4 linked regions of the Arabidopsis thaliana genome follow. The protein of the gene in region 2 interacts with the protein of the main gene of each other region in a pairwise test. Each region holds a gene or a part of one and is shown on either strand. Other genes may lie near its edges. The genes, in order: SCAR4, RAC6, SCAR2 and AT2G34150.

Region 1 (7,264 bases), on a different chromosome or scaffold from region 2:
ACGTTATGACTCTTGACCGTGTTAGGCCGGATATCGTACGGAATATTCCTAGGATCGTTTACACGTATACCGTACCACTTCCACTAATCGTACTTTGATGACAATTCAACTCTTAGACTTGACTTTTTATTATCACTTCTTTTCTTTTTTCAACTTGGAAACGATTGTTCAAGGAGACTCAGACATACACTACGTGGCTAAATATTCCAACGACGACTAGTAGCATTCCAGTTCACACTTCAAATTTCAAAAAGTTTGAACAAATCAGAGAAGTCATAACAAAAACTTAGCGTTTCTTGACTTTTAAAAATACTTTGCTCTCCAACATCGTTTTTCATCTACTATCAGTATTTATCATACTTGTTGATTTGTGCATATGCACTGATGAAGGTTGAATTTAAAATGTATCTTGATGTAAATTACAAGTCCTATAACACTTACTTTTACTTATGTAAAGTATTTGTTTATGTGAAAAGATCAAACATGCAAATATGCTGAAACATCAACTGGATTGATTCCCTTTAAAAGAGGGTAAAATTGGGTGTACATATAAAGGGGAAAAAAACAGAGTGACTTACAATGTGTCAAAAATACAGCAATAAAAACATTACTTGTGAGAATACATACAATGTGAGAATTCTTCTATACAGAGTGTGATCTATATGTTTGTTACCTGCAGATTTGATTCAACGACTCACTCGCTCCAGCTATCTGAATCGTGCTCGTCGTCACTTCCCGCCATTGCCTATTTATATGTATGTCACAAAACCACTTTATCGATCCCCAAGATTATTATATCTTTTTCTTTGTGCAACAGATTATTATATCAAGTGTCCAAATTTAACCAAGAAGGAGAGAGGGAGAGACCTGGCGAAGAGTGTTGGCTTTCTCTAGAATTGCAGCCACCTTCAAGTTGGTTTTGGGAACAGCTACTTGAAAGTTTGGTCTCCCTGAGGCATCTGCTGGTCTCAGGTTGAACGACTGCTAAAGTTTTTTTCAAGTTAAATGTTCTATAATAGAAAACTGAATAAAGTGAAAAGGAAAAGATGAAATGGTGATTTGACCTTGCTCCGTATGATCTCTAGTAGTGAATCATTCTCGTCCACTCGAGCTCCAACGTGTGTCCTGTTCCCTTCAGATACTTTCCTCAACTGTAATCAAACACAAATTGAGTCTCATGATTAACGCGTGAGAGAGAGAAGAGAAAAATAAGCCATTGAAGTACTAACCATGCTTCTGTCAATGCCAATAACAAGCGTATCCTCGTCTCTTTTAAGCTTTCCAGCTTTCTGATTCTGATTATATGAGTTATTGTCTCGCAAGGTTTGTCGAAATTTGGTTTGTCCAGGTTTTTCTAGTGGGTGATCAACCTGAGGCTCTTCCTCTTCTAACTTTGCAGGGTGGGGATTGTTATGCTCTCTTAAGTTCTGACTAAACCATTCAAGTGCCATTGCTTCAGTCCTCCAGTCAGCTTCTAAGCCTTGGGCCGATTCTGCCAAAGAAAATGAATCCTCCGGAGTTCTATTTAAACACTTGTGTTTACTTTCCATATAGGTGTCGCTTGTCCCATTGACTCCTGAAGGAGACTGTTCCTCGGTTGCTTTAGATTCTTCTGTATAAATATGAAAATTATGGTTTTCACCATCTGTAACCGACACTTCTGATGGATATTGTGCCTCGTTCGCTTGAACTGATCCATTCTGTGTGTTTTCATCCCTCTGGATGTTGAAACTGTTGTTTCCACTGCCTGCAAGTGATGGCATTTCGGTTGATTCAACCAGCTTCCCCATCCACCATTGTGTCGGAGGAAGAGGCGGAAGCGGAGGTGTTATCTCCGGATTTGCCTGAGGTGTTTCATGGAGGGACGTGGAGAGGGGTAGTATGGACTCAGGGGATACGTTCAAGAAATCTTCTTCATCAGTCAGACCCTTGGAAAGAACAGACTCAGAGATATGATCATTTAATGATGTGAAAATTTCCTGGTATGGTGCATGAAGAGCTTCTATTTCAGTTATGCTTGAAGGAAAAACATCTAAAGGTGAACTTTGAACACCAACAGATCCATTTTGTGTAGGAGGAGACTCGTCTGATGATGTTCTTGAATTTGCTGACCCTGTTTCTGATGGACTTTCTTGCCTTTGGTTCTGTATCTGTAAGCAATACTCAGATGAAAGACATTCTTCTGTACCTAAAAGACTCTCCTGTGGATCACTAATAGTTTCCAATTCTTTCTGGGGCACGGTCTCAATGGCCTTATTATTCAGGCCAGTCTGGTTATCGTGATCGACATCACCTGCAAAACAAGTACCATCAGGAATTGGTACCTCAGGGTCACTACTATCATCTGAAACAATAGACATGGTTTGTGGATCCTCCTGTCCAGAATATGATGATATCTCAGCCAGATCAGGGTTGGCCAATCCGTCTTCCAGACAAGATGAGGCTGAGAGGCTCCCGTATCCTGTGTGAAGATCTCTTGGAGTATCTGACATCAGAGTTCCATTTTCTGAACTGATTTCAGAAGTTGAAATGTGTTTTGACTGTGCAGGATTCATGGAAGATCCGTCTTGGGAGTTCGTTTCATCTTCTTTTGGGGCAGCATAATCCTGTGCATCAGCAGACAGAGATAAATCTTCAAAGTTGTCAAATGTGCTAATGTAATGATTTGGAAGAAGAAAATCGGACTCCAATGCCACTGATGTTTCATTTAAACTCTTTTTGGTATCTGGAATGAAATGACCAGCTTCAGAAGAAATGTCCTCGGATTCCAGAGCCTCTATCTCTTGATTGGTTATGGAAGAGAACTGGTCTTCCACTAAAGCACTTACAGATATCTCAGATGCAGTCTCCACACTGAAAACATGTTGAGAATGAACATCATTGGTCCCACCCTCATATGCGTCCTGTGGCACTTGTGTAACCTTTAAAAGATGAGTTTCAGGGGAAATATTAAGCATGGGATCCCTTCTGACTTCAAAGACCTCACAAGCTTCAGCATTTGCTTTATTGGACTGAAGCTCCAAGTGACTTCCAGAATCTTCGGGAAGATTTGCAGGACTCTCGTAGCAAGACAAACTGAAAGGTGTTTGTAAGATCTCCAGAGTCCCCATGCCTGCGGAATCTATGTCCGGTGTCATCTGGGAAAATGACTCGTCTAAATCTACAGCAGCCTCTTCAGCTTTATGTGGTTTACTTTCAGGAGAAGCTCTCTGGATATCAGTACACAAAAGACTAGATTCTCCTTCCTCCGGTGAGTGGCGCAAAACATTAGAAAACTGAGTCAGAACCTCTGTTTGATTCACTTCTGCATTAGTACAGATCTGCGGCTGACCAAATCCTGGAAATCCATGGTCACATCCAGCCTTGTCATCACTCCCTGCTTCCTTTACCTCTGACTCCGTGGAAGCAGGTGAATCTGCGTCATTGTTCGTCTTGCAACACAAATTCACAGAAGAGCTACTTTCTAAACAAACCACTGGTGACTTCTCATTAACCGTAATCTCGTGAGGAACAAAAGGAATTTCAAGTATTTCATGACCAGCAATGGATTCTATCTCCATCTCATTGTATTTTCTAGTGCCTCCACTGTTGGAATAAACTAAGGAAGGTATTGGTAAGTCTTCTTGTTCACTGCATACTGTAACTTCAGTTTCCATTGCCGGAGATGACTGATCCATAGTCCCATGAACTCTTTCACAGTATGGTGAAGAATTCTTGAGGAATTTCTCCATGTAACTTGCCCCAGAGCTTGAGTTAATCGGAGGTCCATTCAGCTGTCTTCTCTTCAGTTTCACATGGAATTCAGGATTTCTGTGTCCGTTCTCAACATGCTCCAAAAAGAATAGCTGATGCAACCTGTACTATCCAAAAAGTAGCTCATGTCACCAAATCAAGTGCCGATCACATATATGAACTTTAGACATAGGAATGACAGAAACAGAAGTAGATATAGAGCAAGAGTGCTCACTTGGCATGTGATGTCCGTGAATCCTCAGGCGTCTCTTTAATAGTTGTGTGAGATCCTTTCTTCTGTATTTGAAATAGATTTGATCATATGTAACACATAATACCCAAATGTGCATTTTTCAGATGCTTATTTTTACAGACAGTGGCAGAGTGGGCATAGTAAAACCAGAATTAGGAAATGTGTAACATGATTGAATACCTTTGATTGACGTAGTCGCTTATCTTTCCCGAGTTTGGATGTTGCTACTACTGCTGATGTAGTATGTGTCTTCAATAAAGATGGATCAGAGTAACGCTTCAAGCATGATCCAGACCCAGCAACATCAAACCTGAATAACAGCAGAAACATGATTAAAAACTGCAAATGGATATTTCCTTATGGTGAAAATTCTCATGATATACTGAAATGTACTTGTCGAGAAGGAAAAGCTGCGGCGGACCATGGCATTCCTCGTACGAATCCATTATACAACGAGGCAAGTTCCGTGGGGAAATCAAGTCTTCTTTTGTTTGCAGATCAGAATGCCATTCCAAGCCTGAGGACCTAACTAACAATTCAGTGCTTGGGATCACCAATAGCAGCTTATATCTCTTATACTAAACATTAGAGTAAGATAGATGACTGGCCTGGCTCATAAAAGAATGTAGAATGATCGGTTTGAGAGAGAATGGGTATCTCAACTGAAGGGAAGTCTGCTTCGAGGTGTTGGAGACGCATCGCCAAACCATGACCTCGTGCTGCAGTTGTCATTAGTTGCTCATGCAGGCAATGGAATACCTCAGCAGCAAACCTTATTAGTATGAAAAGAGACAAAAGAACATAAATGCCAAGGGATTGATTCCATAGCGACATAGAGGTTTCATTAGAATTAGATAACCAAAAGAAGAAAAATCATCTCATCAGCACACAAGAAACTTGAACTACACCGAATAAGATTTTTAAGCAAAAAACAAAGAGACCACCCTAGATTCAGGTTTTCTCTAGATTCAGAGTATATAGCATCGAAATTCAATTCCACGGAACCTTCAGTGTCCCATTCTCTACAGTAAAATTCCTCAAACGGTAGGGTATATTGGACCGAAATTGAATTAAAAAAAAAAAAAAAAAAAACATACTCAGAGAGGTCGCCAAGCTGGCGCAAAACGCCGACGAGACCAGCCATGGAAGCAGCTTCGAGCAAAGCTTCAGGATCCTCCTTATCGGCGGATTGGTAGAGCTCCTTATCCGCTAAGCCGTACTCGTTCCGTATCTGGTATCTCGTCAATGCCATTGTGCTCCAATCGATTAAAGTAGAAACCCTTAATTCTTAAAAACAAAAAAAGAGCATCAGAAGAAGAAACTGTGCAGAACGAACCGCCAAAACGCGTCAGGAGAAAGATGAAATCTTTTACCTTTATAGATTTTTAATTAATTTTAACGACGCGAGAGTGGTGGAATTTATATAACGGTCCGTGACATTCATCCAACGGTTATAATCATCGCCTCACCGTGTGGTTGCCGCATGTGATCAGAACCTCAGGTAAAATAATTTATTCAACCGGTGAACATGAAAGTAGTTAAAACCGTTGATTATCCATGCTTAAAGATGGACAAACTTTGCTTAGAATCATAAGGTATTATAATTATTGCAAATCAATTATATTGTACTACAAGTATATTGTCTACAAGTGGTTGTGGTTGAAATCAGTTAGTGTATTCAACCTGCTTTTGATCGTTACATCCACCTTCACCTAAGTTTTTTATTTTAATTATAATTCTTTTTTTATATTATTGACTACCAATAGTGATCAAATAGTGGGAATTATATATATATTTCTCGTCGATTTATTAGCATAGAATACATTCTTCTATTCAATTCTTCGTATGTCTTTAAATTTATTTGATAATGCAGTTCAAATCAAAAGCACTAATATCACGCAAGGCTTCCAAGGAAAGATTAAATGATTACTCCATTTATTTTTGGGCCAAAAAATACTCCAGTAAATGTTAAATATATAAACGCATACAGTATATATTCTTTATATGATAAAGTATGGTTTGGTAGATTGTTATTACCATCCTGATGTTATGTAATGAGCTTAATTCGTCGTGCATGATGTGTCGTTAAAAAGTCAAACATCAAATGACGACCTTAAATGGTTGGGCCTGATGGACTTATTTGAGTCTAATAGAAGACAGTAAACTGTTATGAGCCCATTCCATGACCCATATTAAAGTGCTGGATAAATATGCTAAAATCCACAGCAAGGAATAAATGAAACGCAGCGTATCAAGTTGAGCAAAGGTCGTTTTTGAGTACGATGGAAACAGGTCACCAAACGTTATCACTATGCCTAGGCTTGTGTTTGGTACCTGCCCCTTCTACATTGGTCGATCAAAGAAGAATTACTGACCTTATAATTTTGTATATATCTTAATAATATATAAAACCCACAATTTTGAAATACAGCTCAGAAATGGCTGGATAATTAGTGATTTCGAGGTTCAAAATTCTATGGCGAGGGATGGTTTATATAAGAATTACTATTACAAGCTTAGTTTGTTTTAGCTATAATCATACTCTCATGTATTAGACGCGTTTCTTTCATTTATATGTTGTAATAAATGAGACGCATTTTGTGTGGACGACAAATCATATACGAGCAACTATTTTGATATATATCCCCGTTTCCTATACATGCATTAGTTTCTGAAGAGATTATTGGTACAAGATAGAGAAAGGAGGAAGAGGTGAGTCGACCCCAAAGGAAGGCTGAGACCCAATCAAAAACTGACACATTCCACAAGGTGCACTTAACCAGGACGTCGCAATTAAATTCCAATTTTTATGTATGTGTCTTGTTTGTATCATTTTATTTGACACTTGATCAAACTTTGATATACATGCAGTGTACTTATGGCCCAGCACACGTTTCTCTTCATTGTTTTAATCCCAAACTAAATTGCATCTCATTTGGTTTTTCTAATAAACCAGAGATCATGTAGTTGAGTCCAGCGGCTATTGATCCAAGTGTATTGATTACAAACTTGTGCACCGTAGAGAATTCATTACACTGAGAACCTTAGATGTAACAAGAAACTCAATCCAAAGTTTAAACAAGAAATTCAATCGTGTATAGTAGTTTTTTGCTATGAATGTGAATATCATATAAAATGAAAAGTTTGGTTTTACATGTTTGCGCTTGTGACTGTATTTATGTTTATTTATACGTATAATGATGGTGTTAAAAAAAAAAGAAAAAACAAATTAACCTATACTAACTTTTATACTAAACCAGAACTCGTGGCTTGGCTTCA
Region 2 (4,467 bases):
TGCCCTCCATCCATGGTGTTGCAATTCTTGGACGTAGTTGAGAATTGGGTCCCTAACACGATCGAGAGAAGAGTAGACCTCATTAACTCTGAAGATGAAGAATGTTGGTGGTCCATGAAGAAGCCGCCAAGTAGCACCACAGAAATATGCAAACAACTTAATAGAGAGAATGAGATCAAGCAAGTAGGCAATACAATGGGGTGGCCATGTGCTCGCCTTTTACCAGAAGCTGATGTCTACGCCTTACCTTACACAGTCCCGTTCTGATAACATCAAAGAGCAGGAAGTTTTTAACAAGGAATCTGGTCGAGACATCCATGTTCTGGACCAGACAGTTTTTTGGTTTAGCCTTAAAATTCCAAGGTTGTATAAGAAGAACACACTGTTTGTTATTCTTTGCGGTTGGTAACCAATATAGTAATATCAGTATTTCGTCTCAATCTCTCTTGTTCTTATAATAATAGAATGAGAAATCGAAATGGAATTTTCATGTGAAGTGGATTAGTAACATTATCACAATTGATAAAACATTTGTAAATAACTAGACAAGCTTTCTCGGCTATCAGTTAAAATAGAAGTTGAATTAACCTCACAATTCGTTTTGTACGGAACTAAGAGATCACAAATGAAAACGGAAAACAACAACAAAAATGAAAAAGCGATACTTTTTTAAACCACCCTGTCATCCTCATCTCAAAGAGCTTCTTGACTTCCATGAGTGCTATTACAAGATGGAGCAGGCCTTTTGTGCTTTGTTCTTCTTTTTCTTCTGCTTTGGAGGTTGAAGGACCACTCTGATCGCTGCATCAAACACGCCCTTCACGTTCTGCAGTTATAGTCACATTGTTTTCATCAAAAGATGAAGAATCCAACACCGAAAAGATGATTCATGAGATGTCTTTTATTCGTTTACCTCTTGTGATTTTGAACTGCACTCGATGTAAGCTGGCGCTCCAATTAGCTTCTTCAGCTCCTCTCCCTTCCATGCAGAGAGGGAAAATGCTTAACGGTGGTAAAGCTGATAAAATTGCACTGAGGAAATAACTGTATTCTTACCTGAACAGTGGTAATAGGGACAGCACCAGGATGGTCGATGAAAAACTGTTTGTCATCTCGAAGATCTGACAACAACCAAGGTTAGACAATCAAAAAGGCCAGGATCATGAGTTGACTGAAGATCTTGCAAGTGTCTTTTATAAAGGTATACACTTGCTATACAGTAGCTATTTCATTGGAGGATGCTTAAAGGCGTGTGTTATAGGATATGGTTGCTTTATCACAAGAAGTGCAAGATACAAGAAGAAGCCTGTTGACCAATGATATTCTCTGAAAACTACCCTCAGTTTCACCTAACGAATACATCTTGAACATGTACAAGTTTTAACCACAATCAAGAGAAGGTGAAGTTTTATGTCCACTAATGTCATGATATATTATACCAGAGCAGCTTAATAAAGTGAAAAGGAAAATGGCAGTGTAAGCATGGGAATCAGACATATATATAAATAAATGCATAAACAAGGACAAATGTGAGAGGAGGAAGTAACCTAGTTTGGTTCCAACAAGGACAATTGGGACACCAGGAGCATAGTGCTTCAACTCAGGAATCCACTGTAAAAGAAAAGAAGCATCAAAATTTGGAACTCTCAATTGTTAAATAGTCGACCAGTTCGGACGAAACTGACCTTCTTGGAAACATTCTCATAACTAGCCTTACTAATGAGAGAGAAGGCAAGAATGAAAACATCAGCACCACGGTAACTCAAAGGTCTTAATCTGTTATAGTCCTCTTGCCCTGCATAAACCAAAAACATAATTTCGACCGATTCATCAAGGAAAGCTCTCTCACCAAGGATTATGAATTGGATCATCATTCATTACCTGCAGTATCCCACAATCCAAGATTCACCGTGGCTCCATTAACAACCACATTTGCACTAAAGTTATCGAAAACAGTCGGAACATAATCCTGTTCCAATGGAAATGTATACAACATTTTTAGTATGTATGGATCCCAATTCATATATGGCACAATCAGAATCAAATGAATCAGATATCAAAAAAAGGAGGGAGAATGATTGATGAATACCGTGGGAAAGGTGTTGCTGGTATAAGAAATCAGCAAACAGGTTTTACCAACAGCTCCATCACCAACGGTGACGCACTTTATGAACCTTGATGCGCTCATTGCCTCTTCTTCTTCTTCTTCGAGCCAAAATATGTCACAATTTACCAAAAAACAAAAGAGATCAACCTCAGATTTAAACCTGAGGAAGCCAGAAACACCCACAATGTGAAGCCAATTCCTCCGAAACTTCGACCATTATCTTTCAATTAACCATCTCAAAACCCTAGATATGTATAATGTGGAAACAAACCCCCCAAATAGAGAAAATCAGAAATGTGAAGAAGGAAGGAAGATGAATAAACAAAAGGGAACGTGAGGACGATGAATTGGAGGATGCGAGAGAGAGAGAGAACAACAACTAGAGAGAGAAAGAAAGAAGTAGAGAAGAAAGTGATGGCCGGAAATAATTGCCATTGAAGCGTTCGATTAATCTCAGCCATTCAACCTTCCGACTGTTTTGCAATCTTTTTACTTTTTTTACTTCTTCTGTTGTCTTTTAAATAATTACTATTTTACTTCTTCTTCTTTTTTCTGTTTGATTTTTTAGTGTATATTCAAATTAATTTATTTATCTTGTATACAAAAAAGTAAAATAAAGGAGTTGCACATAATGTATTTTGTCTTTGTTGTTTAAAATGCAAATAAGAAAAATTAACACTGGCTAAAATTATACGTGTTTTTAACTGTCTGTAAAATTTCTAGTACGATTTGTTTTACTATTCTAATTCATTTTTTTACTAGTTTTTCCGGATGCTCACCAAATGTGAAAAAATCTCTAAGTTATGATTCAATATTTATGAAACCAATCAGCCAATTGCGGTACAATAAAGTTGTAATGCACTAGTTCTTCCGCATACTCGCCAAATTTATGTTAAAATTTCAAGGATGTTTGATGATATTGAATGTGGTTAGTTGAATTTGCATGTTGGCTAGTGAGAATGTGGTGTATGGACCAAACCTGAACTTATTTGTATGTCAACAAAGTGTGGTAATATTTTCTGCCAAAAATTGCAATAATCTCAACTAACAAATATTTTACCGAGTATGTAAAATGTCAACATTGGTCATATTTGCCTTTCGTGAGGAAAGATGTCTATGCTAATGAACTTATTCGGGTCAACGTAACCTTCCTTGATAAGAAAACCTGCGACAGCGAGAACAAAAACGTTAAGAGTTGGGAATCTTTCACAAACCATGTAATTAATTTGTCGGAAAAAGTTAGCATTTGAAAATGTTCAAAGTAAAAGTTTTTATTTGATGTGTGTACGATGATACAATCACAGTTTTGATAAACCAGGATTCGTGGAGTTGGAATCAGTTTTATCAAATCAACATTCCAAAATTACTAACAAGTTTGAAAATATGCAATGACAAAAAATCATAAAAATCATAAATACACGAGCTACATATGGATGAATGAGAGAGTTAATCTATAAAATCCGACCAAATAACTCACCAAGTCTACGATTTATTATATGGCTTTTAACAGAGTAACGACTGAGAGAGACATATAAGAAGAGCATTGATGAAACTAACCCTGAACATCACGGCGAGTAGTCAACTGGAAGTCCAAGATGATACCCCGGCGCAACAAGCCCGCTATCACCGCCAAAGGTTGCCGTGGATCGTTTGTCGTGACTGTGACGGATCATTTATCTCTTCTCTCTCTCACCTGTAATTGTCAGAAACAGTTTAGATGGCAGAAATTTCTCAAAGATAAATTACACTATAATAACTCTCTTTAACATTATGACTACAATTCCCAAAATCAAGATGTTTCAGAAAATACACGGCTCAATTCGTCAAACAAAAAGGAGAAACATCAGATTCTTACCAAACCCTAAAGCAGAGTCTCAAAGCAGAGTTCTTGATTACGATGATAGTATATAATGAAATCACGGGGAAATTGGGTGAACGCTCTCTGTTTTTCTTTCTTTGCGTTGGTTGTAGTGAAGCTTGATGAGCCTTCCATTTCTAGCTATTTGCTTGGAGAGAAACCTGCAAGAACACTCGAAAAAGAAAACAGAGGAAGATGTGAGTTTAGACAAAGTGAAAATAGTATGATGCGTAAAACTGAAACTGACGAAACTTTAGTGAGAAGAATAGACCATGAAAGTGTTTCGATCAACAACATAAGTCGTAGAAAAGTAAGGAAACATCTAAGAATTCTTACCAATCTTAAAAGCAGAGTTCGGCTAGTGACTACGAGAAACCTTGGACGAACTTTGTTGAGAGGAATGAAACTTGCTCTCGATTAACTTTGGATGAACTTTGAGCTCTCTGACTCTCTCTCTCTTTGGTTTTTCAACTAGAAAAAAGACTTTTGCTTTCTGAAACTA
Region 3 (7,923 bases), on a different chromosome or scaffold from region 2:
GCACTAACTAGCTGATTCTCATAGATATTCGTTATCCAAATGACCAAATATACAGTCAAAGGACACTGCAAATGATTGAGAACACACAATACATATCTATGTATGTATTCAAATACACATACATAGCCTACTAAAAGAATGTTCTATGAGCTAAAAAAAAGAACGAAACATTCCTACACACAAATTTCCGTAAAACTACTGCAAATTTCGGAATCTACTTACATTACAACATACACACACCTATAAAACAGTACACAATATACATACATACATATATAAATAACCAATGACTGTATGTATTTAATGTTATATGTCTGAAATAGAGATTGTATAACCTACCTGACTCCAAGTGCTTGCGCACTCATCATGATACAAGAACGAACACCACGGAAAAGCCAACGATCATCGATTTCAAGAATCACTCCAACTATCTGAATCTTCATCCTCGTCGCTTCCAGCCATTGCCTGCACCAGTGTTCAACCGGTTTTAGATGTGTGTGCGATAGAGAAAAAGTGATATTTTATTTGGTCTATGATCAGGCTTATAATTCATTGTTTCCACTTAAGAGACTGCTTCGGATCCAATCTAAGACATAATGTGAGACTAAACTCCTCAGATTTTCATGTCAAATTGAAATGCTTTGACATGAAGCCTCTACGATTAGCAAGGACCACAGAAAAAGGTGAAAAAACTTGAAAACATTTACTATCTTTGAAGGAGATGGAAAGAGAGTAACGAACCATGCGTATTGTATTTGCTTTCTCTAAGATTGCAGCTACCCTTAAGTCTGTTCTAGGACCAGTCTGGATGCTGGGTCGTGTTGTTACTGCCGGCTTTAGATTGACGGACTGCATAAACAAAACACAACTCATAAAATTCCAAATACAAAATTCTGTTCACAGGACCATCTGGGATTTTACATGATCAACATGTGCTACCTTGTTTCGTATTTGTGCAAGCAACGAATCTTTGTCATCTTGCTTTGATTTGATTGGTGGATGGACCATCTCAGAGACTTTCTTCATCTGGCAAATCATCAGAACAAGTGATTAGAGACATAATCTTAGCAAAGGCATGGTATTGCAGACAAGATGAAATTTTGTACCTTGCGTCTGTCATGAGCTGCAACAGCATCGACAAGCGGACTTCTTGGCCTAGGAAGCCTAACCGTAGGGACCACTTCTGTCTTATATGTGTCCAAGGTAGGTGCCACAGAGAAACAGCTAACAGGCCACATAGCATCTCCCACTGAAACAGGATTTATCTTCTGAACTGACGTGTTTGATGATTCTGCAGTTTCTGCATTTGAAGCATCAGGAACCGAATGACCCTTATCTTCTACCTTTGTTGATTGAGTTGGCGTCAGGGATTTGGTTTCAGGACAATGGTGATCATCGCTTGAACTTTGAGATTCATGCACATCAGCATCGTCCTTGAAATCTTCGTGTTTAACCTGAGGCAGCTGCAATGACGACGCTTGAGAGTAAACGAGCTCGTGGTTCTGAGCTGCATGGTCAGCCAAAAGATTGTTCTCCTCAGAACCAAAATCCTCTATGCACTCCTGATAAGGTATTGTAGGGAGCTCAGAACTGTCGTATTGACTATTCAAATCAGTGCTCATGGTTGGGAACTGAATGGATGATTGCAATGGCTTTTCTGATGCATTGTGAACAAACCCTCCAGGAAGTCGTTCTGATTCGTCACTTCCTAAAGATACAGATAGCTCTGATGGTGGAGACCCAATTTGAACATTCAAGCTAGAACCAATGGGTGGTGCCGCTGATAAAGCAGAACTACTGGTTTCGACTGATTCCCCCATGAAGGTAGGAAAAGAATGTGGAACCTTTCCAATAAGCCATTGCATAGGAGGAAGGGGTGGCATGTCCTCTGGATTGGGCGGAATAGTCTCAGGGATAAAACCAAAGCTAGGAAAAGTAGGATCCAGATTCAACTCTTGCTTAGGTCTGTTCAATTCTATACCTGCAGATTGTGGTGCAAATTCTAAGCCTGCTGATTGTGGTTCAAACTCTAAGCCCCTGAAAACATTTGACTGCAGCAATTCCTCATCTGCAACTTCATGGCTTGCATAAGATGTTTGCTCTCTAACTGCCTGGTCGATAGCCTCACTCTCTAAAAGGTTCAGATTATACACTTGTGTGGAATCTATGCAATTATCATCAAGAATGCTCTCACCAGGAGATTTGGTTTCTGTGTCCCTGTTCCTTTGATCCAGAGATGGCTTGGGACTTGTAGATTCAATACTTTCTACGTCCTTGTTGTCTGGTTCAGTACTCAGACCTTCTGAAGACACTTCCAGAGGGCTTTTATGCATTTTTATTTCCGACTCTGGATTATTGTCTTCCAGTAGTGTCCCGTCAGACTCTACAACTGTATCATGGAAAATCTCTCCAGCATCAGAAGACGATTGATAAGTATTGGTCGAAATCCAAGGCAGAGAACCCTTCCCACGAGTCGATGACAGACTAACGGCATGATTAACACCACCACTGGAAGTGTCATTGTCATTATCAGACACATCAAGCTCAACGTTCGGGACAATGTCTGTGGTTGCGTTGTCCAGCCCTGAAAGGTCATGAAAACCTTCATGAGAGATATGGTCATCGCATTTGCTACAAGTAGGTGAAGCATCTCCCGCCAATTTCTCTACTCCCGAGTTAAAATCAGAAGGCACGGACATTCCATTCTCTAGTGTGTCTTCATGGGACTCTGAAACAGACACATCAGCCGTGTTGCCAAAGGCACATGAATGCTCATCGGAGATCTCAGCAACTGAACTTTGAGAATCAATGTCAGCAACTGAACTTTGAGAACCAACGTCGGCAACAGAATTTTTAGAATCAACGTCAACAACAACATTAGTCACTGAAACACAATCGGTTTCATCATCCAGAGTATCTTTTAAGTGAATTCCATCAGCTGAACTTGGACCACAGACTTTAGAGGGCGTATCAGGGGAAACTTCCATCCCCACCCCAGCTGAGCAAGGTACCAGCTTTCCTGTTAGGCAACGACCATCACGTTCTTCAGGATCGCTGCCTGAGTTTGCTAAAACTTCAGAACAAGCAACTATAGAGTTTGTCTCAAAATCAGTATCAGCGATAGGTAACTGTTTACCAGTTTGACTATCAACAAACGCTTGAGGACTAGTGCCTGAGTTTACTAAATTTGAAGCAACCATACAGTTCTTCTCAATGGTACTATCACATCTGCTTCCTTCAGAAGTTGAACTAATTGATGAAGTTTCAGAAGGCAAGTCAGAGTTTTTAGCATCAAAAGATGCACAAGATTTTGAAGAATCGAATGGATCCACCTTTCTTCCATCATTGCCTCCCTTCATTAGATCAAGCCTAACAAGTTCTGGAGAAGTTTCAACGACTTCTGATGCTAAAGATTGAACTGTCAGTGAACATGATTGATCATTCTGAGAGACTGGCCTTGGACTTGAACATGTACCATTCGAACTTAATGATGTCTGGCCATCTACATTGCTGCTACTAACTGATTCCTGAACATTCAAGTCATGAGACACTTTGTTGGCTTCAGGAGTAACGTGAGACATAGAATCCACCAACTCACTCTTAAAACTAGAAGTAGAAGGTAAACATCCCGAAAGTTTCTCTCCATCAGATTGATCATCAATGGATATGCTTGCAGTGTCCGAGTAAGAATAACTAGTGCTCTTTTTCCCAAACGAGCTTCGCCCATTTTCCGAAACTGGTGTGTTTCCATTTGAATGAGAAAATGAAAACTGAGGTGGGTCCTCCATTCTCTCTTCAACCGCATCAGAATATATATGATGGTTCCCATCCTTCAAAGTATCTGATCTACTCTTAGGTCTACACTCATCGTCTGTTTCTGTTTCCGACTCCATGGTGGCTGGTGCGTCCACATAATTGTCAGCCTCACTGGTTAAATCTTCAGAATAACTCCTCTGTTGAAAAAATCCTGGCTTCCCGTTCAAAACCGTTTGTGAATCCTGTGTAATAGTTGTTCCACGGACCTCATTGTATGTAGATTCAGGCACTGTCTCTATATCTTTTTCAATAAAACCCCCATTCATGTTAACATTTGCCACATTTTCCTGCTCACTTGGGAATGAAACCTCTGCTCTGCTTCCTCCATGAGACTTATCCATAGCACCCACCATACTGATTTCAGGTATATCGGTTACTACATCTCTAGCACTATCCATATTCCATGTCAACAATCCGGGGTTTTGGGTAATTATTTCATAACTTATCTTACTATCTACACGTGTCTGCACAAATTTCTCCATGTAGCTTTCCCCTGATTTTGAAATAAGGGAACACCCATCTAGCTTTCTGGTTTTCAACTTCACAACGCGCGCTGGATCTGAATGATGAGCCTCTAAATGCTCCTCCAAAAACAATTCATGCAATCTGTGCCAGTTGAATAATTGAAACCAGCCATTTTTAGTCACAGTCAGATACCAATATAGGAACTACATATATATCATAACAGAAATGACAAACACACAAGACATAAAATAGATAATACTCACTTGGCATGTGATGATAATGCATTTTCAGGTGTCCCTCCATTCCTCCACTGAGATGCTCTCCTCTACAAGAGAATAGAAGGAAAACTATGAGAATCACAAAATGGAAGGTAAGATTACACATTCAAAACACCATGAGCATAAGAAAATCTACTATTCAGAAAATCTACCATGTAATGGAAACCAAAATATAACCAAGAAGGATCACACTGCAACCCATAAGCTACAACCTGAACTAAGAAGCTAGTACCTTTGCTTTCTGTGATTTTTTCTCTCTCTGAATATCATCCCATGATTCTTCATATGAAGACGTTTCAAGCCTAACAAACGATGGATCGGTGTAGCGTTTCAAACAAGCCCCAGCTCCGGAAATATCAAACCTAATCAAAACCATCAGAAGATGTTACATATATCCTTCTCTAACAAACGACTAAAGAAGAAGTCCTATCAAACAAGGCTAAATCATACTTGTCCAGAAGAAATAGCCTTGGAGGACCTCGACATTCCTCATAAGAATCCATCACACAACGAGGTAAGTCACCACTTGTAACCACACTCTGTTCCAATTGTAGATTCGGATGCCATTCCACACCTGAAATAGAGTCACAGAATCATGTTGAAATAATCCAACATCATAGTAGCTGACCAGATCATGAATGTTCATAGCAATCTAACCTTTGTTAGAGAAAAACGGCGAATGATCGGTTTGACACAGTAATGCCTTCTCTATAGAAGGAAACTCTGCTTCCAACTGTTGCACACGAGCCATTAAACCATGGCTTCTAGAAGCAGTAGCCATTACTTCTTCGTGCAAGTCATGAAACATCTCAGCAGCAAACCTTCATCACAAATTACATGAATTTAAAGACAATTCCATCAAAAAATCAAAACTTTTTCCACTTCCACAACCAAATCCAGATTCATCAAAATTGTCGCTTTACAACAACGGATTCCAAAACTTCGAATTCGATGCGCTTAGAGATCAATTAGAGAAATTTCGATTGGAGAGAAACTTACTCAGCGAGATCACCGAGTTGACGCAAAATGCCAACGAGACCAGCCATAGCGACTCCTTCAAGCAGAGCTTCAGGGTCATCTTTATCAGCAGCTTGATACAGATCCGGATCTGCTAATCCATACTCGTTACGAGATTGGTACCTCGTCAACGGCATTGTTTGAGCTTCTCTGTCTGATCAGCTCGCTGATACTTTTGTTCAAATTCTAAAGGTAAGAACTTTAGAAAGAAGAAGACTAGAAAAGCTTCTCTGTCTTCATTTAAGTAGTGACCGACCACCATTAGATATGTGACGACATCACTTAGCTGGAAACTAAAACGGACTTTCTGTGGATTCAAGACGGCGGATATAGGTAGGGGCAAAGAGAGAGAGAGAGAGTCTGAGAACCTCAACGCTAAAAGACTTTTTAAGAAAACATTTCTTTTTCTATTTTTCGATAGCCAGAAATACTTAAAAAATTGTTACTTTTAGTGAAAAATTCTTACAAAACCAAAACCTTGTTGCAATAAAACCTGCATTTAAGACCAAACCCCTCGGGAACCTGATAGTTTCAGGCTTGAGGTTTGTCCAATTGTGATCCCTATCGAAACCAAACACAATCTAATTAAAGTCATTTTTGAGAAACGGATGAGAGTTAATTGAAAGATTAAAAAGGGAGCGAAGAGTCTATTTGAGTGTCACTGTTACTTCTCTGCAGGAATATTAAAAGACGTTGAGTTTCGACTACAGCCTACAGGTATGATTCGACTTCTCTCTTCTCACCTTAAAGTTTCTGTCTTTATATTCTTCTTCGCTCGTTGTAAAGCAATTCTTATTTGAGCTCCAAGTTTGAGATTTTTTTGTTTTATCTTGAAATCGTTTTTGGTTGATGTTGTTGTGAGTTTCAGGTTTAGACATGTCTTATATTCCACCACATAAGAGGCATTCGAAGGATCCGACAAAGCCTACCCCTGTTCCAGATTCTCTTGTTACAAAATTCAAGAAGAACCTTGACTTTAAGAGTAGCACTAGCAGTGTTAAACGCAACAAGATTATCTATTCAGGAGATTCCATTTCCAAATGGTTTCTTGTTGGTTCAAATGGAATTGAGGACGATGTTCCTTCGTATGTTAAGTTTGTGCCCTTGTCCTCAGATTCTGTCGAGTGTAGAAAAGGAGAAAAGCCTTCAATACTGATGAACAACAATGTCCAAAATGGTAAGAAACTATTAGTAGACTTTGGCTATGTGTTTGACAAAATGAATATCATCTAGATGCTGAAATAAACAATACTATTAACTATTTTGTTTGTGCTATTATCGTTTTTGCCAAAAGAAGATGCATTGTATCTATGTTGAGTATGGTTTTTTATATGTTTATATTCAGTGAATATGAATATTGGAGAGAGGAAGGATGAGAGAACTCAGTGGCTATTAGTAGCTGAGAAGGTTATGGAGGATCTTGTGTTGGCATATGAGCGAGTTAAGACTGAAATGAAGGAGCATCATCATGTATCGAGACTGGTTGCTCGGTTTGGTAAAATTTTCTTCTATGGGTAAGCGATTCACCGTCTGATCTCACATTTTGCTGTTTTCAGGAATGGGTTTATATTTTTTCTAACATATACAACTTTAAACCAGGAGTCAAGCTGGTCCTGTGGCTGAATGTTCACTAAAAAACTTGAATAAGATGTTCTCTACTGATCTCCCAATGTCTTACTTACAACACATAAAATCTAATGTTGTACCAAGCCATGGATTCTCTATTGATAAGGAGAAGGAAACATACACTGTGAAGGTACTCGTTTCATTTTCTTAGATTTAGATCTATACTTCGAATGTCATTTGAATGTGCTAATTTGGGTTTGGCTTCTATTTTTAGGTATCGCATTATTCTCGTCCTAATGCAACCATCAACTGTAAATGTACCCGTAAGGAAGATGGACGGCTCAGTATGTACAAGGCAAGTCTCGAGTTTTATGTGTGTAGTGACTACAACCAATAGTAAAATCTCTTCTTTATTGTTCTCGGACTAGCAAGAAAAACAAACAAGAATTTGATAGATGTCACATTTTTACTTGGTCTTCCTTTAATATCTAACTTTGAATCTTGAGTTTTGCTTTTATATAGGTCGACCTTAATCCTGTAAGGCATTTGGTTGTTGATGTGTCATGCATTGATAAGAATCTCGACATGAGACTAACGCTCACCGCTAAGAGGGAAATAACGTATCTCAGTGTAAGTTCAAGTTTGGTATATATATTTTACAATATATGGATAAATAATATGCTCTTCTTAGACTTAGGTTGTGTGATCTTTCTTTGATCGGCAGGATAAAGAGATAGGTGACATTAAAGCGCTATTGGAATCAGCAACTGTTGATCCAAAT
Region 4 (6,642 bases), on a different chromosome or scaffold from region 2:
TAGACTACCACCCAGTCACCCACTTGATTTTAGACTTTTTAGTGTTTGTGGTTGCATCTTTTTTGGTAAATCTGGCTGTCTCGCCAATTTTGCTTTGCTCTAGTGATCCAATCAAAATAATTTCTGATTCTCTTTCTTTTAGAAATAATTTTTCCGAACATAAAAGTTTAAGAAATTTAACTTTAATAACGAAATTCATTATGTATAAAATAATTCTCGTGAAATTGTAAGAACTAAGAAGCATATCAAATGCTTATCTTTGATCAAAAAAAAATAAAAAATGCTTATCTTTTGTTGTATCAGATAGAAAGTGAAAATATTTAAAGAAGTGTACAAACAAGGACATAATCTTTTTTCTAGTGTGTCAAGTACTGACTCAAATTAAAGAACACAGCGAATTTCACGGCTTAGGGCTTCGGGTACTTATATAGTACTAATGATTATTTTCCAAGATCCTATATTTGCCAACTCACGTTTTAATGTATACCTAAATAATTTGTTTAAAAAAATAATTAATTCAGTTCTTTTGTTTGTTTAATTATCAATAATCATCTAGAGATTCAGACGTAACATATTCTATAATTATTTTATTTTTCAGAACCTTATCTCTTTGTTGAAGATACAAATATAAACGTACGACAAAATCGACCTATATCTACTACACAATAAACATATGAGAACCGAAATGAATGATGTTGTCATGTGTCGCTATCGCTCCATGTATCGCTTTCGCCTTCTCCATCGTCGCTTGCTACAGCCTGATATAACAAGTCCGAAATGTAAGTGCTTTAATGACCAAAATGGTACTTGCAAACTGAAACGTAAGATTATAAATGTGAATAATGTATGGAACCTGTCGGATAGAGTTTGCCTTCTCTAGAATCACGCTAATATTGGTGTTCATTGTAGTTTCTGATGATGATGTCTTTGTCCTGACCACACGTCTCAAGTTGAATTGCTGTTATGATTCAAAAGGTTGTTGTTGGTTAAGAAAAATGCATTTTATGACTTTGTGGAAACAGAAATGAGAATTGGAGGATCAAAAAATCATTTCTCCCATTTCATTCCTATACAAACGAAACTAAAAACATGTTCAAAATATATTTCCATTTCGATTAAGAGGGAACCGGGACAAAAATGAAATACGAAAACAAATGTATATATTTTTAGTTTTAAGGGTTTGAGTTTTTTTTTTTTTTAATTATCGATTATGTAAATATGTTCCTTAATAAAGGTTACTTTGAATTAATAGAATAGGGAATGCATTTTCATATACCACAGAAATTTTCTATATAGCTAAAATATAAAGCAAGAATAAAAGACTCACTTTAGTTCGAATTTGATGCAAGAAGTCTCCAGCTTCTGTCTCATTTGTGTTGCCATGACTTTGCTTATAATCCCTCACATTGTTCTTCAGATGTACCTATCAACCATCACATAAAATACCTTATACCAAAAAGATGAAAAAAAAAAAACAGTAAAAAGGAGAAGAAAACTTAATTCTCCATACCTTGGTTACAAGTTTAGGATCAGAAACAGTGACAATGTGTGGTTCTTTTTTCTTGACTGCAGTTAAAGAATTGTTGTTCTTCTCAAATGCCTGTGTGAGAGCATCCTTTAGAGACTGCTTGTTGTTATCCTCGAATCCAGCTGACGGTATTTTCGAAACCATCCACTGTAACGGTGGGAGAGGCGGTGGTAATGGCTCAGCTGGATTTTGGAGGTAAGAGACATTTTCAACTAAACAACCATTTGTTGTTTCAATCTTTGGAAATGGAACTGGTAGAGAAGAAGCTTCAGCATTGACTCTGTGAAACGAATCATAGAGCTCTTGTTGCCTCTTGCTTTCTCGGATACCTTCTGATTCTTCTTCCCACTGTTGCTCAGACATTGACACAGAGCGATTGTCATTGTCACTGTTGTCTGAAATGTAAGAAGAAGATCTACAGAAAGTGTCCTTGTCTGAATCAGAATCAGGAAGTGAAGTAGCAATAGTCTCTGGCACCAACTGAAACGAAGAAAATGTATATTCATCTGGAAGTTTTAGCTGTAGTTCAGAACTTGGCAAGGTTTCTGAGGATTTGAAAGATATTTTCATGTGATCAAGTGGAGGAGATGAAGTAAACCAATCAAAAGGAGCCTTATAATCTTCTCTTAAGTGCTCTTGGAAGGTTTCAGAATCAATGTCTTCAACAATCTCTGGAATAGTTTCTGCTATAATTTTCGGTTTCGATGGTTTCAGTCCTAGGAGATTTCCATTAGTCCATGTTTTAATGGATTCAGTGTCACAAGAACTCTCAACTTCTTCTGATTCTTGATGTTCTTGGATACCACTAATATCATACAAAGGATTTGAGAAGCCATTGGAATAACTATGAGTGCCACTACTTATTTCCGAAGCCGCCCATGGATCTTGATGAATCAGTTCATCAGATTTATATACCGGTGATGATGATAAATGTAGCTCTGATGTAGCAGCACATTTTGTCTCATCAACACTAAAGTTGTTAGAAATCTTCTCTGTTTCTTGCTCTGTAATATCATTGTAAAGATTCTTCTGCACCTCTTTAGTGGCTTGGAAAGCTTCATCATTTTCAGATTCTGAATCGATGGTGTAAAGTGCATCAACAAAATCATCCCCTTCGCTTTCAGTCTCATCCTCATTGTCCATTTCCAGTTCCTTCGGTTTGATATCTTGGACCGCTTCAACCGCTGAATGTTCTTTAAGTCTTGATACCGGTTCAGCATCCAAGACAAAGTTAGTTTCCATTACTTCAGGAGCTTCATCTGTTGCACACTGCAGAACATTGCATTCCACTATCTCAGCTTTCTCGTGCCAACTAACACTAGAAGAACCACGAGCTGTTAAATCTTGAGAAGGACTATCACTTTCACTTTCACTTTCAGAAAGAACTGAAGCAATGGTGCGAGAACCCGGTGTAAACCTTGAAGAAGAAGATACCCTCTTCGGTTTCTCTCCACCACTTCTTGAATCGAAAGAGAAAGAACGATGCTCTTGCAAGTCGGATTTCGACTCAATTTCAATCGTTGAAGCAGTTTTAGAGGTAGAGGTTCGTCCACTGAAGCTTAAAGAAGTACATGTCTTCCTGAACATCATATCATATATTCATGTTTTGAGTCATATATGAAAACATCTCTACAATGTCAAATCCAAATGTCATTACCTGTCACTCTGGTTAGCCACAGAGGCAAGTCTTGATATATCTCGACCGCGTTGTATAGATTTTTTCTTCTGCATCATCCATACAAGTTTAGGTAGCAAACAAGAAAAAGAAGAAACTCTACAAAACATGGTATTAACAGACTGAATCTCTAAAACAAACCTTAATCTCTGAAGGTTTAGAAGCTCTTGATGCTCTTTTGAAATGAGTAGGATCCGAGTATCGTTTCAAACAAGAACCTGGACCATTTATATCAAATCTGACAAAAACCGCTAAGAATCAGCATCATATTTATTATCATCAGTCTAAAACATAGCAGAAACAGTAATAACAAAAAAGAAAATGAGAGTTAAAAGGTGTATATACTTGTCAAGCAAGTGTAACCGCGGAGGTTCCCGGCAATCTTCATATGGAGTCATAATAAACGGTGGCAATTCGTCATACATAAAGTGATTTTGCACATTTGGTATACGAGGATGCCACTCCAGACCTAAAACAGCATGTAAACACTATGTTCATTAACTATACTTAAATTTTCTAAAGAACTCAAATAGTGAAAGATCATGACTTATTTAATTAAGATCCATAAGAAAGACTACTAGTATCATTCATCATCAAATTCTAAACTCAAAAAAGAGTATTTTAAGCTAAGAAGTTAGTGCAAAAGGCATGTGAGCTAGGGCCTACAATAAACTCAACAGGATATAAATTTTTGATTAAAGAACAAACATGTGAATCTAGACATTAAAGAAGATTGACAAGAGAAACAAGACAAAAGAAACCTCCAGTGTATGCAAAATGAATGTGATTTGTTTGTGCAAGCACTGTCTTTTGGATTGTAGGAACTTTAGCTTCTATTTGCTTCAATCTCATCTTCAATTTGTTGCTTCTTGATGCTGTTATCATTACCTCCTCTTGTATTCCATGGAATATCTCTGCTGCGAATCTGAAACAATGTGAGTTTAACATAAAAACTCAGGACAAGTAAGATTGGCTGAGAACCATAAAATAAGCAAATGAAGAAGACCAAACACAGCAAAATTAAAGATTTTACAGAGAATCAAAGAAGATCACTGACTCCATATTGTCACATTTTTACTTAAGATTTTTTTTTTTTTAAAAACATTTATAAGTCAATTATAAAAAAAAAGAAACAGAGGAAACAGAGTTGACTTAAAGTACTACTTACTCTGTGAGATCACCGAGTTGACGCAAGATCCCGACGAGTCCAGAAACGGCGACGTCGTCGAGAATCGCTTTAGGGTCTTCACGGTCGACTTTTGTGTGAAGCTCTTTTTGCCCTAAACCGTAGACATTCCTAACTTGGAGCCTAACAAGCGGCATTTGCTCTGTTCTTGAGAAAGATTCCGGAGGAATGATCAGATGGGTTTTGAAGATAAGAAACAAAGATTGAGTTTTTGTGGGTTATGTTGCTTGAGGTGGGTGAGAGATTATGGCAGCTTAACCGCCGAAACGAGAGAGAGAGGGAAAATTTGGAGATTACAAAAAGGTTTTTCGTTGTAAAAAGAGAAAAGAGAGACTCGGAGACATTGCTAACACCGCAAGCCATTCCCTTTTTCAATGTCATCATTTTAACTAAAAGTGCTAAGAGAAAATTACGAAAAAGGGCTTGGAGCAAAAAGAAAGGTACCCATAACCTACCCATATGGAGCGAATCATGATCCAAATTAGTCATTTGTTACTTACATAATTTCCCGAAAATAAACTTTAGTTTTTATAAGAATTTGTTAGTGCTAAACATAAATTATTTAAAAAGAACTATAAACATTTTTAGTCATGTGTATAACCCCTACTTGTAATACTATATTTGTATGCTTAAGTCATCTAATGAGAACTTACTCTGCTTAATCTTCTACTACTAGCTACTAAAACAAAAAACTTCTACTACTTGTAATATTATATCATATACATTTTGCACAAATATGGAGTATAAAACTAGAAGTTAAAGTTTGGATCATTGAATGAGCATTTGAAGACTTCTATTATAAAATAGAAATGCGTTACAGTTTAGATAGCGTTAAAGTTTGAATCATTGAATGAGAATTTGGTCGTTTGCGAGGAAATAGACTTGTTGAGTTGGCTACATATTTATTGGAGAACAAAACTCCCATAAATGAGGCATCAATACATACGTAACACTTGTACTCAAACTCTATAGCTGTGATTTGTTTTTGTTTTTGACACCAACTATATATGAATGATGATGGTACAATTCAAAGATTTTCATAATGAATCTAGTAAAGCGGAAGTGTATGTATTGCCGTAATGGTGTGCCTCTCGCATCCTTGATCTATACAATCAAGTTTGATGTTACAAGAGTTGCATAATATCTTCCATCTACACACGCTGCGTAGTGTGTGCGCGTGTGGGTGAATGTATTCATACATCTATATCTTACACTACTTGAGGACTTGCACACATGCATGTGGATGTGTGACTTACTCCATCCTCGTTTAGGCATATATACACAATAATAAATCATGCACAAGCATTTTAGATCTGTGCTTCTAGAGTTTTGGATCTGGCTCCCATTAACCAAAGCAATTTATCAACTCGAATTCTTTTGTCGTTTTTCTTGATACTAACATATAAATACATTTTATTTATAAACTACAGTTCAGACATATGGATCGAAGATCCACAGTACTACTCCAGTACTCCATACAAGCTAATACACAGTATTAGAAGTAATCAATTCTTATGGTCCTTGGTAGGTATAGTATTATTAAATAAGTGATGCGATTAGATCAATGCATGACTTTTAGCTGGTCGTCTATTTATGGATGCTACCTAAACATAAATTTAATCACATGTCATTTATTATTTATTATTACTCCTAAATTGTTCTGTCCATTAAATATTTTATAAGTTGTTACTTGCTACTCCTATCAACCATTAATGGTAATCTTTGACGCAGATTCTATGAGCTATACTATTGCATTGTTTTCCATCATATATTATCAATCACAAGTAACTCTTCACAAAAAATGGCGGTCAATAAAGTGACACTTACAAAACTCAATGGTTTAAATAAAAACTACAACATTGCTGAAAAATATACATAAATTTTAAACACGAAATTGGTTAACAAAACAAAATTGGCGGTCATCTCATGTTTTTTTTTATATCATAGTAAATCTCGAAATGTGCTTTGATTAAAGATCAGACCATCGAATGGTGCACTAGCATTCTCATATAATTTGACATATAAAATAGTATAAGTAACAATATACTAATATAGTAGTAGTATATTAATCATTTGCATAAATATAAAACAAGAATTGGTCCAATGACCCATCGATGGCATCAATGCCTTGTTCTTGGATGAAACGTGGCATATACAGTACGGTGTCGGATTAAGACATGATACCATAATTAGATATCGTATTTTTCGAAAACGTCAATATGTTGTTAGTTGATTTTATGAGAGGCAGGTTTT

What was found.
Region 1: the proteins of RAC6 (region 2) and SCAR4 interact in a two-hybrid assay, tested with the Arabidopsis thaliana proteins (one study listed by BioGRID).
Region 3: the proteins of RAC6 (region 2) and SCAR2 interact in a two-hybrid assay, tested with the Arabidopsis thaliana proteins (one study listed by BioGRID).
Region 4: the proteins of RAC6 (region 2) and AT2G34150 interact in a two-hybrid assay, tested with the Arabidopsis thaliana proteins (one study listed by BioGRID).

Annotation. Positions count from the first base shown.
Region 1 is NC_003076.8:272,325-279,588, forward strand, and holds SCAR4 (SCAR family protein 4), read right to left. Parts: upstream 5,563-7,264; 5' UTR 5,359-5,562; exon of another isoform or gene 5,273-5,358; 5' UTR 5,238-5,272; coding exon 5,083-5,237; intron 4,758-5,082; coding exon 4,594-4,757; exon of another isoform or gene 4,503-4,593; coding exon 4,379-4,502; intron 4,296-4,378; coding exon 4,166-4,295; intron 4,103-4,165; exon of another isoform or gene 4,030-4,102; coding exon 3,968-4,029; exon of another isoform or gene 3,856-3,967; coding exon 1,230-3,855; exon of another isoform or gene 1,152-1,229; coding exon 1,065-1,151; coding exon of another isoform or gene 1,011-1,064; exon of another isoform or gene 982-1,010; coding exon 868-981; coding exon of another isoform or gene 841-867; exon of another isoform or gene 746-840; coding exon 695-745; 3' UTR 508-694; downstream 1-507. UniProt on the Arabidopsis thaliana protein: Involved in regulation of actin and microtubule organization. Part of a WAVE complex that activates the Arp2/3 complex. Regulates trichome branch positioning and expansion.
Region 2 is NC_003075.7:17,023,327-17,027,793, forward strand, and holds RAC6 (RAC-like 6), read right to left. Parts: upstream 2,541-4,467; 5' UTR 2,189-2,540; coding exon 2,090-2,188; intron 1,970-2,089; coding exon 1,882-1,969; intron 1,796-1,881; coding exon 1,686-1,795; intron 1,612-1,685; coding exon 1,548-1,611; intron 1,122-1,547; coding exon 1,057-1,121; intron 980-1,056; coding exon 914-979; intron 827-913; coding exon 725-826; 3' UTR 511-724; downstream 1-510. Other genes in the region: AT4G35940 (uncharacterized protein), read left to right, coding at 1-267. UniProt on the Arabidopsis thaliana protein: May be involved in cell polarity control during the actin-dependent tip growth of pollen tubes.
Region 3 is NC_003071.7:16,093,340-16,101,262, reverse strand, and holds SCAR2 (SCAR homolog 2), read right to left. Parts: upstream 6,029-7,923; 5' UTR 5,714-6,028; coding exon 5,559-5,713; intron 5,381-5,558; coding exon 5,217-5,380; intron 5,134-5,216; coding exon 5,010-5,133; intron 4,922-5,009; coding exon 4,792-4,921; intron 4,607-4,791; coding exon 4,545-4,606; intron 4,423-4,544; coding exon 1,107-4,422; intron 1,027-1,106; coding exon 940-1,026; intron 850-939; coding exon 742-849; intron 466-741; coding exon 412-465; 3' UTR 42-411; downstream 1-41. Other genes in the region: AT2G38430 (uncharacterized protein), read left to right, coding at 6,453-6,753, 6,922-7,090, 7,176-7,332, 7,417-7,497, 7,665-7,772, 7,867-7,923.
Region 4 is NC_003071.7:14,418,734-14,425,375, forward strand, and holds AT2G34150 (SCAR family protein), read right to left. Parts: upstream 4,739-6,642; 5' UTR 4,527-4,738; coding exon 4,372-4,526; intron 4,129-4,371; coding exon 3,965-4,128; intron 3,959-3,964; exon of another isoform or gene 3,673-3,958; coding exon 3,549-3,672; intron 3,442-3,548; coding exon 3,345-3,441; exon of another isoform or gene 3,314-3,344; coding exon of another isoform or gene 3,254-3,313; coding exon 3,186-3,253; intron 3,108-3,185; coding exon 1,511-3,107; intron 1,424-1,510; coding exon 1,328-1,423; intron 959-1,327; coding exon 854-958; intron 759-853; coding exon 699-758; 3' UTR 530-698; downstream 1-529. UniProt on the Arabidopsis thaliana protein: Involved in regulation of actin and microtubule organization. Part of a WAVE complex that activates the Arp2/3 complex. Regulates trichome branch positioning and expansion.